Oryctolagus cuniculus: one gene and its partner. The protein of the gene in region 1 interacts with the protein of each later gene in a biochemical or structural test. Links are inferred from orthologs where the notes say so. Each region holds a gene or a part of one and is shown on either strand. Other genes may lie near its edges.

Region 1 (7,238 bases):
CCTCAGGGTTTGTTTTGATGTATAAAGATTAACCATCTTGGTTTTGCCTTTCATACTCAGGGTACTACGCTTAGACTTGGTCTGAGTCATTTACCTGGCCTTTTTTAATTTATTGAGCTTGAACTCTAACCTATTTCTTTTTCTCCTGCTCTTGTCAGCAACTCTATATTGTCCAACACATAAAACTTCTCCATCCTCATCAAAATCAACCTTTCACAAAAGCATCAGACACAGCAGTCACTCCCTATAAGGTGGACACTGTTGGCTCAATAGATAAATGATCTCCAATTATTCACTTTTTCTTGACTCTGCAACAAGGACAACATAGCTAAGTATAAGGTATCTCCCACTACCCACATCACAAGGTTTTTGAATTTTGGAAAGTGGCCTGAGTTGAAAGAGTAAGAGTCTGGATGGTAAAGACAAGTGTATCTGCTTTCCAAGTTGCTTACATCTGTTTTTATTATCCTGCTGATATCTCCAGGGCCCCCCACTGTTTTTTTGTTTTGTTTTGTTTTGACCAGGGCCCCCCACTGTTTTTTTGTTTTGTTTTGTTTTGACAGGCAGAGTGGACAGTGAGAGTGAGACTGAGAGAAAGGTCTTCCTTTGCTGTTGGTTCACCCTCCAATGGCCGCTGCAGCCAGCACGCTGCAGCCAGCGCACCATGCTGATCCGAAGCCAGGAGCCAGGTGCTTCTCCTGATATCCCATGCAGGTGCAGGGCCCAAGCACTTGGGCCATCCTCCACTGAACGCCTGAGCCACAGCAGAGAACTGGACTGGAAGAGGTGCAACTGGGACAGAATCTGGCGCCCCGACAGGGACTAGAACCTGGTGTGCCGGCGCCGCAGGCGGAGGATTAGCCTATTGAGCCGCAGCGCCAGCCCACTGTTCTTTTTTCCTATTTAAGTGCCTCCTCCACATTTAACCACTTAACAAAGGCAACATATAATTATGAAAACTCTATACTATAGGAAGAGCAGAACTACAGAGAACAACCAGATATAATCCTGCCTTCAAAGAAAACTTAATATGGTAGAGGAAAGAATTTATAAATTCAAAAATGAAAACTAAAAATATAAAGTGTTACGGGTTTTAAAATGTGAAGAAGTTTCTGATTGAGAAAGAAAATATTGCAGAAGGGAGGGGCTTCTTCTGGGAAATGATGTTTGAGTTGAGCCCTCAAGAATAAAAACAGTTGTCAGAAGAGTGTGTTGGGAAGAAGGGTAAACATGTGCAAAGGCCCTTCTCTCCAAAGGCTTACTGCTTTCTCCTTTTCCTGTTCTCATTGTGTGGGTCTTCCACATCTTGTCCTGGTTTTTGCTTGATGCATAGATGTGCCGGTCCCTCCCCCATCACTCCCATACTTTCTTCTTTCCCTTTCAGTCACCATGTAATGTAGAACTAAAAAATGCTTAAATTATTCATTAAACAATAATTAAATTATTTACCTTAAGGTAAATAACTTATATGCTCTTAATTTTTTTTGTTTGTTTTTGTTTTCTTTCTTTCTTTTTCTTTTTTTTTTTTTTTTTTTTGACAAGCAGTTAGACAGTGAGAGAGAGAGAGAACAGAGAGAAAGGTCTTCCTTTGCCATTGGTTCACCCCCCAAATGGAAGCTACGGCCACTGCACTGTGCCGATCCAAAGCCAGGAGCCAGGTGCTTCTTCCTGGTCTCCCATGTGGGTGCAGGGCCCAAGGACTTGGGCCATCCTCCACTGCTTTCCTGGGCCACAGCAGAGAGCTGGACTGGAAGAGGAGCAACCGGGACAGAATCCAGAGCCCCAACCGGGACTAGAACCCAGGGTGCCGGCGCCACAGGTGGAAGATTAGCCAAGTGAGACACAGCACCAGCCCTTATGCTCTTAATTTTTTAAAGTAGGTTGAATGTGTGTGTTTTCTTTAAGCAAAAATCTGCAGAATTTCATTTTGTGCCACTGAATTGATTTTCCTCCTTGTAACTCAGTTTAATTTTACTAGGAGCAGAAGCAAACATTTATAATTTAGCTGCTAAGTGAAATAAAGTTCAATTTCACATAATCACTTTCATAATACTTTTCAGATATGTAAACTAAAACCAAACCTAATGTAAACAAATCTTATAGACAGATTCTGCCTAAGTACCCATAAAAAACATTAAATATTTTTCTGTCTCCTTTATAATCATATGTCTAGAAATCTGTTCCAAGATTTAAAACAGGTACAATTGTAGAACAAAATTCATGGCCTCAAAATATAGCTTTCTATAAAGTCTCACTAGGATGATGCATTTAGTAATATTAGTATATAATATTTTTACAGCACCCATACCTTGTTATCTTCCCAATAAAGAGCAAAACATTCATCTCCAGGTTTCCACATTTTTGCATACTCCAAAGGAATAGAAGATTCTAGTACTTTTTCTGGCTTAATTGGCCCAGATCTTCTTTTGGGCCCACTATTGTAAAATATTTTATCATCATAGGGTACAGTTGTGATGGGTCCTGCTGGTTTAATAGGTCCTACTCGTCTTCCTTTCAGTGGCATTTCTGTCTCTCCATTTGGAACACCAGTGAAACTATTACTTCGGACAGGATTCTGGTAATCAGTATTTACATTAAAATGTTTTTCAATCTTTATACCACTGAAAGCTTCATTATTTATTGTTCGTGATTTCCTGTCATAAAAATGGTCAGAATTAGCTGTTTGGTTTTCTCTTTTTCCACGTTTTTGATTATTATAATCTATGGATTCTTGAGGAAGTAGATTATCTTTAGCCTCCACACAGGATGGACCTTTTCCTGATCTGCTTTGCATGGAGTTATCTCTCTTTTTAAAAGCAACATCACTGTGCTGAGCACTTAAAGAATATGAAGTATCTTTAGTTCTGTCGTATCTAGAATATGGTCGATCACACTTGATTCTCTCTTCAGCCCATAATTCAGATCCCGAAGACGTACTTGGTCTTTCAGAACCTCTGTTTCTAGGTAAACTGCTTTCTAATACTGACTTTGAAATTTGGGAGTCCCTTTGGAAACGAGGAGGTTTTTCATTTCTTGGCTGCCTGGTATCATTTCGCAGGAGATGTCGTGGTTGATTATTGTCTTTTACTCCATTTTGTTCAGTATTTGACAATCTGTGTTGACCCTGATGAAGCTGCTGTGGCTGTGACTTAGGCTCTGAAAGGTAAAAGTATATAATATGTACATTAAAATGAAGACAATATTAGTACTTACTCATTTTAAGTGCCTAAAATTATCATCATAATAAATAATTATGCAACTACTACTATTTTAAGGTCTTCTTCCATTTTCTCACCTCAATATCTTCTTTTTTTGACGGGCAGAGTTAATGTGAGAGAGACAGAGAGAACCATCTCAATATCTAAATCCTCTGTGGTTACTTAGAGACCTGTATTTCCTATGTTTTCCTGGTTGGCCTCATTAATGAAGTAAAGAAATGATGTGAACTATAAAAAATGAGTAGGTAACCAAAAACTATTTGTCTTCATCACTGCATGTTTGCATTCTTATGATTATATAGATATCTACTCTGGTAATCCATTTCTCAAAACATTAAAGAAAAAGAAATGCAAACTGCTAACTCAGCTGTGGCTAGGAAACTGCACAACTACAACCTTGTTCAACATTTCTTTGAATCTCATTCAAACTTAGAAATGTATAGTTATCATTAGCAATCACATTCTTTTTTTTTACTTTTATTTGATGAATATAAATTTCCAAAGTACAGAATATTGATTACAATGGCTTCCCCCCCATAACGTCCCTCCAACCCGCAACCCTCCCCTTTCCCACTCCTTCTCCCCTTCCCTTCACATCAAGATTCATTTTCGATTCTCTTTATATACAGAAGATCAGTTTAGCATACATTAAGTAAAGATTTCAACAGTTTGCTCCAACACAGAAACATAAAGTGAAAAATACTGTTTGAGTACTAGTTATAGCATTAAATCTCAATGTACAGCACACTAAGGACAAAGACCTTTGCAAAACTGTTCCTCCTCAAATCTTTGAGTTTGCCTTTATCTCTGCATAGGACACGTCAACCTTTGCTTTTCAGAGTTACCTTTTCTTTTCTGTTCTGTTCTTTTTAAGCATCACCACCATGCAGAGAACTTTAAGGATATGAAGTATCTTTAGATCTGCCATATCTAGATTATGGTCTATCAGATATCCTATTACAAAAAAAGTAAATTTTCTTGACCTATCAAATTGACAGCAGGTACTACTTGGAAATGGATAAACAGACATAGAGAGTGAAGGTGCAGCTAGGCTTGGTAGGTATGGAAGAATCTGACTTCTGTTTTTTTAAAATAAATGAATAAAAGATTTCCTACTCTACAGTTTAGGATTAAGGAGTGCTTTGAGTCTATGAAACTGTATTGGAAAGTTTTTTTCAATTTTCTTCCTTTGGTTCCAGATCCAAGAATTTTTGTATATTTTAATCACTACTGTTACTAACATTGAATCTCTTCATTTATGCATTCAAATCACCCTCATATCAAATGTACTGTCCTAGAAAAGTGAACAAAAATTTTTGAACAAATTATTTTTATCAAAAAACAATTTTAGAAAACAGTAGAGGAAGGCCGGCGCCATGGCTCAATAGGCTAATCCTCCACCTTGCAGCGCCAGCACACCGGGTTCTAGACCCGGTCGGGGCACCGGATTCTGTCTCAGTTGCCCCTCTTCCAGGCCAGCTCTCTGCTATGGCCCGGGAAGGCAGTGGAGGATGGCCCAACTCCTTGGGCCCTGCACCTCATGGGAGACCAGGAGAAGCACCTGGCTCCTGGCTTCAGAACAGCACGATGCGCCGGCCGCGGTGGCCATTGGAGAGTGAACCAACGGCAAAAGGAAGACCTTTCTCTCTCTCTCTCTCTCTCACTGTCCACTCTGCCTGTCAAAAAAAAAAAAAAAAAGAAAGAAAGAAAAGAGTAGAGGAAAAAATCCATTTACCTCTTTTTCAGTTACTGAAGTAGTGCACATTAGACTACAGAATGAAAGAAGTAATTTTACCAATAATAAACATATTTAATTTTTTTACTATGCATAGATAATATACTGAGAGTAAAGTCTATAAAGGAAATTATCTTTAATAACTAAGAATACCTCCTAAGAATAAGTTAAATAAACTGTACTTTTAAAAGAAGATACTTTCCAAATATATCCATTTCAATCCAAAATGAAATCATACTCAAGAAAGGGAGGTTCTTAAATGCTTTACCATTCTTGGATTTCCTCAAATCCAGTGCATTTTACCTTTGGTAATTACATAATAAAGTCAGAGTTAAAGAGTATTCTGAAACAGAGGGAATTTACTTAATAAATAACAGAATATACTCAAATACTAAATTGTGACAAAGGTATTTGTATTTATTTATTTTAAATGATTGAATTTTATTTGAAAATCAGGAAGACAAAGTGTCAGACACTGAAAGATCTTCCATCCACTGGTTCATTCCCCAAATGCCTAGCCTAGGACTAGCCCATTTAGGGATTAATCTAGTGATTGAAAGATTCTCTCTTTCTAGCTTTTCAAATAAAATAAAATAGTTTTTAAGAAGAAAACACCACTGTAATTTAAAAACAAAAAAGAAAATACATCATCTTTTTCTTTTTTAAATGATCTAAAGGGAAGAGATGAAAAAAAAAACACAAACATTTAATATTAAATAGCAGAAAAAAGGAAAGAAAATCAGTAAAAATGATATAAAAATTGATTACAAAGCAGACAGACTGTGAAAAGCTAAAAGATCAAGGTAATGAAAACATAAATCAAAGAATGCTGCCTGCGTTTAGTGTGACTTGAAATAGAATGTTTCTATTAATCAGATCATGAATTTCAAAAGGCATGTTTAGAAGATAATTGACCACAATGTTATATCACCATTTGAAATGAAAGAATCACTCAGAATGAATTTATTGCACAAATAGAGTCTATATATGAAGATATCAGCACATCTTAAAATACTAATACTTTTTGCAGAATATTCAATTAATCAGCAGTTGTCCCTGCATTTTATAATAGAAAAAGGTACATTTTGTTTCCCAAGGTATTAACTAATCCTCATTTTATTCTGAGATATCCAACGGAAGTTAACACTTAACACCTTACTATGTGCCTGACTCCATGTTACAAGTATTTTGTCTACATTATTTCCTGTACTCCTACAACCACTTTAAAAGGGCAACATTATTATCCTTATTTAACAAGAAAAGAAACAAAGTAATATACCTCAATTAAAGGCTCCTGCTAGAAAATGTTGAACCAGACTGAAATTGAAATCTAACTGAAGCTAAAGCCCATGATTTTTCCCCTATGCCAAACTGCCTATCCAGAAAAACAAGACAGAATGTAACTAAAAAAATCTTAGAAACATGACAGAATGTAACTAAAAACACATTAGCTACAATTTTATAAACTGCATCTGTTAATTTCTAGTGAGATGAAGAAATAACAAATGCTATTTCACATTTGTATACTAGGACTGTCAGAATCCTGACCTAAAATTATAATCTCTTTCCCATTAATGAAGAAAAACTAAAACACCTAATGACATTTGAAATGGTATTCAGAGGCCTACAAACTGGCACTTTGAGATAGCATAAAGAATAGGGTATACCCTTCTGGAGAGGGACCACATACGTTTATATCATGGGTCTGCCACTTACTAATTCTATATCCTTAGGCAAAATATTTAACTTTGCAAGTCTCATCTTTAACACAGGACTAATAATAGAGCACACCTCACAGGATTAACTAGGTTAATATATGTTAAATATTAAAAACAGTATCTGGCTTTAACAAGCCTTCAGTAAATGTTATCTGACATTATTGCTGTGACTATCACCATTAGTATTGAAATTATATAAATAAACTTAACTAATGACATCAGCAAAAGTCATTAAGGATGGTAAGATGATTCCCTATTTATACATTTCCACTACCACCAATCTCCAACTTTAGTTACAGTCCTTAACTTGATGTAGCTTTTTTCCTCTTAATTTATCCTTTTGCTTATTTGTTTTCTTATTGAAAACAAGGCAGGAAGAACCTTTTAATATTGTTATAAAGGCAATATTATATTATTAAGAAAACTTTGTATACATCAGAAAATCAAAAATATTTTAACCTTTTCACTTAAAATTTAATATAAACATTCTTCAGATAAAAACTTATATCTTTAAAATTTTTCTACATAAGAAAGGCAAAGCTATATTTAAAAAGCACTCATACCTCT
Region 2 (6,004 bases), on another chromosome or scaffold:
GCAGGGCAGGGAGCTCTGGGCCAGGTCCCGATTGGCTACTTTCCAAGACATTCCCTCCTAGCAAGATCATCCTCACAACTCCGAATATGACCTCATTGCCACACACACAGGCGGCAGGCCCCAGCTGTCCAGAAACAGCCAAGGATAACAGCAGGCACCCTGGAATGCTACTCACACCATCACTGCTGGCTCCCTACCTCACACCACATGTGCTGTGGTGTATCAGGTAAAGCCACTGCCTGCTATACCAGCATCCTGTATGGACACCAGTTCAGGTCCCGGCTGCTCTACTTCTGATCCAGCTTCCTTCTGATGGCCTGGGAAAGTAGTGGAGGATGGCCCAAGTGCTTGCACCCCTGTATCCACATAGGCGACCAGCAGGAAGCTCCTAGCTCCTGGCTTCAGTTTGGCCCAGCCCTGGCCATTGCAGCCATTTGGGGAATGAATTGTGGATAGAAGATATCTCTCTCTCTCTCTCTCTCTCTTCATAAAATGAAAAATAAATTATTTTTAAGTTAATTCAAAATGAGTCTACTGCATGTAAGGCCTGGGCAGGGGCTGGAGCCACCAGGCCAGGCCCCTGGGAGCACTGAGAACAGATGCCCAGGTATCCGAGGTACGGTTACCCCTGGGGTCTCAGAGCTGTGCCTGCAGCACCCCACGCTGTCTGAGAGCTTTTTTTTTTTTCTTAAAGGTTTATTTACTTATTTGAAAGGCAGAGATATATAGAGAGAGGAGAGAGATCTTCCATTCACTGGAAGTGACATGGCCACAACGGCCAGGCTGGGCCAGGTTAAAGCTAAGATACAGCAGCTCCTTCCAGGTCTCCCACGTGGGTGCAGGGGCCCAAGCACTTGGCCATCCTCTGCTGCTTTTCCCAGGACATAGCAGAGAGCTGGATCAGAAGCAGAGCAGCCGGGACTCGAACTGGTGACCACATGGGATGCTGGCACTGCAGGCAGAGGCTTAACCTACTGTGCCACAGTGCCAGCCCCATCTCAGAACATATTACAGGTGCTGCCTGCCGACTCGAGCCTTCACCAGCCGGGGCTGGTACCACACACGCACAGGACAGGGCCGATTCAACCCTGCACACTCCAGGCTGCAGCCTCCTTAGCAGAGTGAGGGAGGAGGCCGTGATGGGGACCATGAGAGCCTCGTGTCTCGTTCCCCTCCGGGGCTGAAGCTTCACGGAGGTGACACGGAGGAGAGACGTGACAGATCCGAGCAGCCTTGTCCCCAGCCTGGAGCCCAGCAGGAAAGCCGTGCTGTGTTGCTCAACTCAGAGCCTGGGGACTGAGCTGGGATCCCCACTGGCTGCTTTGGGTGCTTATGGATGCACAGCCTGGGACTGTGTCCTGGCTGAGGCTGGTACCGGGTTGCGGTGTAGCCACAACCATAACCAGACACACTGAGTAGGGAGGAAGAGGAGAGAGAGAAGGCCAAGGCCATGAAGGAGACACCCCAGGGCTCTGCCTCCTGGAGCCCCAGGGTGGGGGAACCGCTCACCCTTAAAACAGGCACCCTGCATACAAATACCTCCCTAAGGCTCCCCGGGAGCATGACCCAGGTGGTGTAGCGTGAGGGCGCAATGGCAAGGATCTCCCGGCAGAGGGCGCAGGGCAGCGGCAGACACCCCGGCCTCCAGAGCGGAGCCCCCCACGCCCCCTGCTGGCCCCTGCGGGAGCTTCATTAACTGCACCCAGGAACTCTGGTTTTGCGCGGCTCAGAGCCCACCTCAGCCGTCACCGCTGTGCTGGGGTAGGGGTCGGCTGAGGCCTGGAGACCTGCAGGCAGCCGGCGGGGCCTGGATCAGGGTGGGGTGACCTCCAGCTCATGTTGAAGACTGGTAAGAGGCCGGCGCCGCGGCTCACTAAGCTAATCCTCCACCTAGCGGCGCCGGCACACCGGGTTCTAGTCCCAGTCGGGGCACCGGATTCTGTCCCGGTTGCCCCTCTTCCAGGCCAGCTCTCTGCTATGGCCCGGGAAGGCAGTGGAGGATGGCCCAAGTGCTTGGGCCCTGCACCCCATGGGAGACCAGGAGAAGCATCTGGCTCCTGCCATCAGATCAGCGCGGTGCACCAGCCGCAGCGCGCCAGCCACGGCAGCCATTGGAGGGTGAACCAACGGCAAAGGAAGACCTTTCTCTCTGTCTCTCTCTCTCTCTCACTGTCCACTCTGCCTGTCAAAAAAAAAAAAAAAAAAGACGGGTGAGGGCCGCATGGACTGATGAGCACCGCGAGAAAATAACGAGGCAATCCGTCCATAATCCTAACACTAACGGTACTTATATCTTTTTCTTAAAAAAATTTTTTTAAAGATTTATTTATGGGGCCAGCGCTGCGTAGCGGGTAAAACTACCGCCTGCATCACCAGCACCCCTTATGGGCGCAGGTTCAAGTCCCAGCTGCTCCACTTCTGATCCAGCTCTCTGCTATGGCCTGGGAAAGCAGTAGAAGATGGCCCAAGTCCTTGGGCCCCTGCACCCACATGGGAGATCTGGAGGAAGCTCCTGGCTCCCGGCTTCAGATCGGTGCAGCTGCAGCCGTTTTGGCCATCTGGGAAGTGAACCAGCGGATGGAAGACCTCTCTCTCTCTCTCTCTCTCACTCAGCCTCTCTGTGTAACTGTGAGTTTCAAATAAATCTAAAAAGAGAATCTTCTGTCCACTGGTTCCCTCCCCGAGATGGCCACAACAGCCAGGGCTGAGCCAGGGCAAAGCCAGGAGCTTCTTCCAGGTCTCCCATGTAGGTGCAGGGCCCAAGGACTTGAGCCATCCTCCACTGCTTTCCCAGGCCACAGCAGAGAGCTGGATTGGAAGTGGGGCAGCCAGGACTCAAACTGTCACCCATATGGATGCCGGCACTGCAGGCGGTCACTTTACCTGCTACGCCACAGCGCCGGACACAAGCACTTTTATCTTCCAGGTGTTCTGCACCCATCATCCGTTCGTGCATCCCACAGACGGTATAGCTTTGACGAAAGCCTGCTGCACACACGTCTGTAGCTTTGTTAGTAACCATCACAATCACTGGCACGATGGCTGTCATGACTGGCTCCCCGTAGCTGAGAAGAATCCGGGTGGAGAGTTTGGGGAGCCCCCTTCGGACAGCGAGCCCCCCGGGAGTCTACGCGAAGCTTTGCGGATCCCCTCAAAGATGGCGGCGGGGATTCGGGGCGGTGCCCCCGGAACGCTCGAGCGCCGGGACCCGCAGACACCGTCGGACGGGGGAATCGGACGGACGCGGGGACGCCCGAAGCGGCCGGACCCGGAAGTCGGGGTTGCAGTGGCCGCCCCTCCCGGGGAGCGGGAGCCGGAGACGAGTCGCGGTGGGGCCACGGGTGAGCAGCGGGCGCCGAGAGGGGCTGCTCGCGGAAGCAGGCAGCGCAGCCTGTCTTCAGGCCGGTGTCCTGAGTGCTGGCCGGGCTGAGGAGAGGGTCCCGGGCCGGGCCTCGCGTTCCCGCTCGCCGGGGTGGTGGCGGGAGGCGGTGATGGGCTGCGCGCTCAGCCTCGCGCTGGGCGGGGGCCGGGCGCTGCGGGCGCTGCCACTGTTCCTCCTGGCGGCCTCCCCCGGCTCGCGGAGGCGAGCGCTTTCTGTCTGAACCTCCCGGGCCGGGAGGCTGTGCCGTGGTCGGCGCCCACTTCCGGGCGGTCTAAGGGACCCGGGTTCTCCGCTCTTTTCGGAGTGAGCAAAGTAGCTGGGGTCCAGGGGCAGTAGTTTGTCGGAGCGGGGGAGGGGATGGCTTCGTCTTGCCCCTTCGCTTCCTCGGCCTGTGGGAATAGGACGCGAAAGGCCAGCCCCACCTGGGCGTCATGGCCACTGAGCACTGGGGGTCCTGTGCCAGGGTCACCGACACTGGCCCCTTTACTCGTGATCTGGAGGGGGAAAAATGTAAAAACTGACAGTCCCTGCCCTTCAGAGTTGTTGGCGAGATTAAATGAAACAGTGTTGATGGCCGTGGCGTGCCCGGCCCAGAGGAGCTTAAGAAAGGGTTGTTCCTTTTCTGATTCTTTGGGTATAGGGTGTGGGGGATACCCTCCCCTGTCCACACTGTGCACTCGAGAGGTGGCCTCAGCGGTCTTGCAAGGTCGGGTGTCCGATGAGCAGGTACACCCAGAGCAGGTACGGCAAGCAAGCTGTGTACTAGCACGCAGGGCCCTCATTGGCTGAGTCCTGCGGGTGTACACTTCCCAGACCTCCCTGCGCTACAGAGTTACCTCCTGCACTCACTGTAGTCTCCCCCTTGGGACTTGGCTACTCCGGAACAACCAGGAGTTTGCCTAGTGAAGTTGCTACCTCTGCAGGTCCCCGCTGTGTTGAAAATGGACCACCAGACCTGCTGGCGAATTCCTCCTCTTTCCATGTTTACACTTTTTCGGTCCCATTTTGACTCCTATTCTTTGTTCTTCAACCGTTTGGCTCAGGACTCCAGCTCAGTTCTGAGAGATGAGGATTGAAGTTACAGCACTGTTCCGTTTTCCACGGTATCCTTCTAGCCAGCCTGTAAGGGGGTCACCAATGCCCGCCTTCCCTGCCGGTTTATTGACTATGTTAGTTAGCCCGTGTGATGGCCCATCAGGATTGTCCTCCTAGTATCCTCTCTCTGAGGGCATCCCGAGAGTATGGGATATTCAGGCATCCCTTATCCAGCGTCCTCCGCCAGCAGCCCATCCCACCTGCCCAAGCCACATTCCACGGCTGCTCTGTAGGTGGGGGAGGGGCCAGAATTATTTTTTAAGACTCTTTCTTCTTTCTTTCTTTTTTTTTTAAGAATTATTTATTTGAAAGAGTTACAGAGAGAGAGAGAGCCAGAGAGAGAAAGGTCGTCCATTTTGCTGGTCCACTCCTCAAATGATCACAATGGAAAGAGCTGAGCTGATCCAAAGCCAGGAGTCAGGAGCTTCTTCCAGGTCTCCCAAGCAGCTGCAGGGGCCCAAGGACTTGGGCCATCTTCCACTGCTTTCCCAGGCCACAGCAGAGGGCTGGATCGGAAGTGGAGCAGCCGGGACTCGAACCAGCACCCACATGGGATGCCGGCACTGCAGTTGGCAGCTTTACCTGCTACACCACAGTGCCGGCCCCTCCCTGATTTGCATTTTTTTAAAAAAAGATATTAGAACCTGCAACCCCCTCCCCCCCAACCCTGACACCATTGGTTTTTCTCTGTGGAGATTCCTGTGCCCTCTGGCTGATGCATCAGGAAAGAGTACATCCGGGTGACTCTCGCATGTCTCTTCCCGTTCAGGCTGCACCATGAAGTTTGTCAAGGGCTCCTGGTGGGACTGACTCAGAAGGACCTCCCAAGCCCCCTGATTCTCATCAGAAGTCAAGAGGGGAGTTGCCTTTTCTTCCTCCTCCCACTCTGGGCTCTGTCTCACGAGATGTCTCATCTTTCCACACCTGTGCCCGTCCACTGATGGTTTTAGGAGCTCCCCTGTGTGTCTCCCTCCTAGCTGTTTGTTTGAAGTGTGAGATTTCTCCATCTTTCCCCAGGGAGATTCTGATGCAGCCTCTTTTTAACCAGCTCTTCTACTGAGCTAGGAACTCCTCGGACGCTTGAGTGTTGTTCGGGCTACCGCCAGGCCTCCACTGGCAGGATCACCCGACCTGGGCATAGACCCGGACGTGAAAGGAGACCCGTGTAAGTGCATTGTCTCCCAGGGGCTCCCTCTGCTGGCGGTGGGCCGAGCACTGGCAGGCTGGCCTGCCGCTCATCCTCCACTCGACTCGAGTCCTAATCCCAGTCCCACTGCGGAATGTTGGATGTCAGCACCCCGTTAGCCCTCGCCTAGCTCCGTCTTGGAAGTAGGAAGTCAGACTGCAGGCTTTGGCCAGCAACAGGATTGAACTCGGTGCACCCTCTGGTTGACCATAAGAGCCAGTTTCTGGCCATTTTGATCCAATTGGGCTTTTTTTTTTTTTCTTTTTTTAAAGGCAGCAGCTCAAGTGAACACTCGTGTTGGTAGAGCAGGAACATGAGCAGGGGAAGTGGATTTCGGAAGC

What was found. The genes of interacting proteins can lie anywhere in the genome.
Region 2: the proteins of TDRD3 (region 1) and TOP3B form a complex in vitro, tested with the Homo sapiens proteins (2 studies listed by BioGRID and IntAct, with this or other methods). The link is inferred for Oryctolagus cuniculus from reciprocal best matches to the Homo sapiens genes TDRD3 and TOP3B.

The regions. Positions count from the first base shown.
Region 1 is NC_091440.1:52,155,494-52,162,731, forward strand, and holds part of TDRD3 (tudor domain-containing protein 3), read right to left. Parts: intron 3,157-7,238; coding exon 2,309-3,156; intron 1-2,308. UniProt on the Homo sapiens protein: Scaffolding protein that specifically recognizes and binds dimethylarginine-containing proteins. Plays a role in the regulation of translation of target mRNAs by binding Arg/Gly-rich motifs (GAR) in dimethylarginine-containing proteins.
Region 2 is NC_091452.1:28,899,517-28,905,520, forward strand, and holds the start of TOP3B (DNA topoisomerase 3-beta-1), read left to right. Parts: upstream 1-3,204; 5' UTR 3,205-3,341; intron 3,342-5,246; exon of another isoform or gene 5,247-5,494; 5' UTR 5,495-5,642; intron 5,643-6,004. UniProt on the Homo sapiens protein: Releases the supercoiling and torsional tension of DNA introduced during the DNA replication and transcription by transiently cleaving and rejoining one strand of the DNA duplex.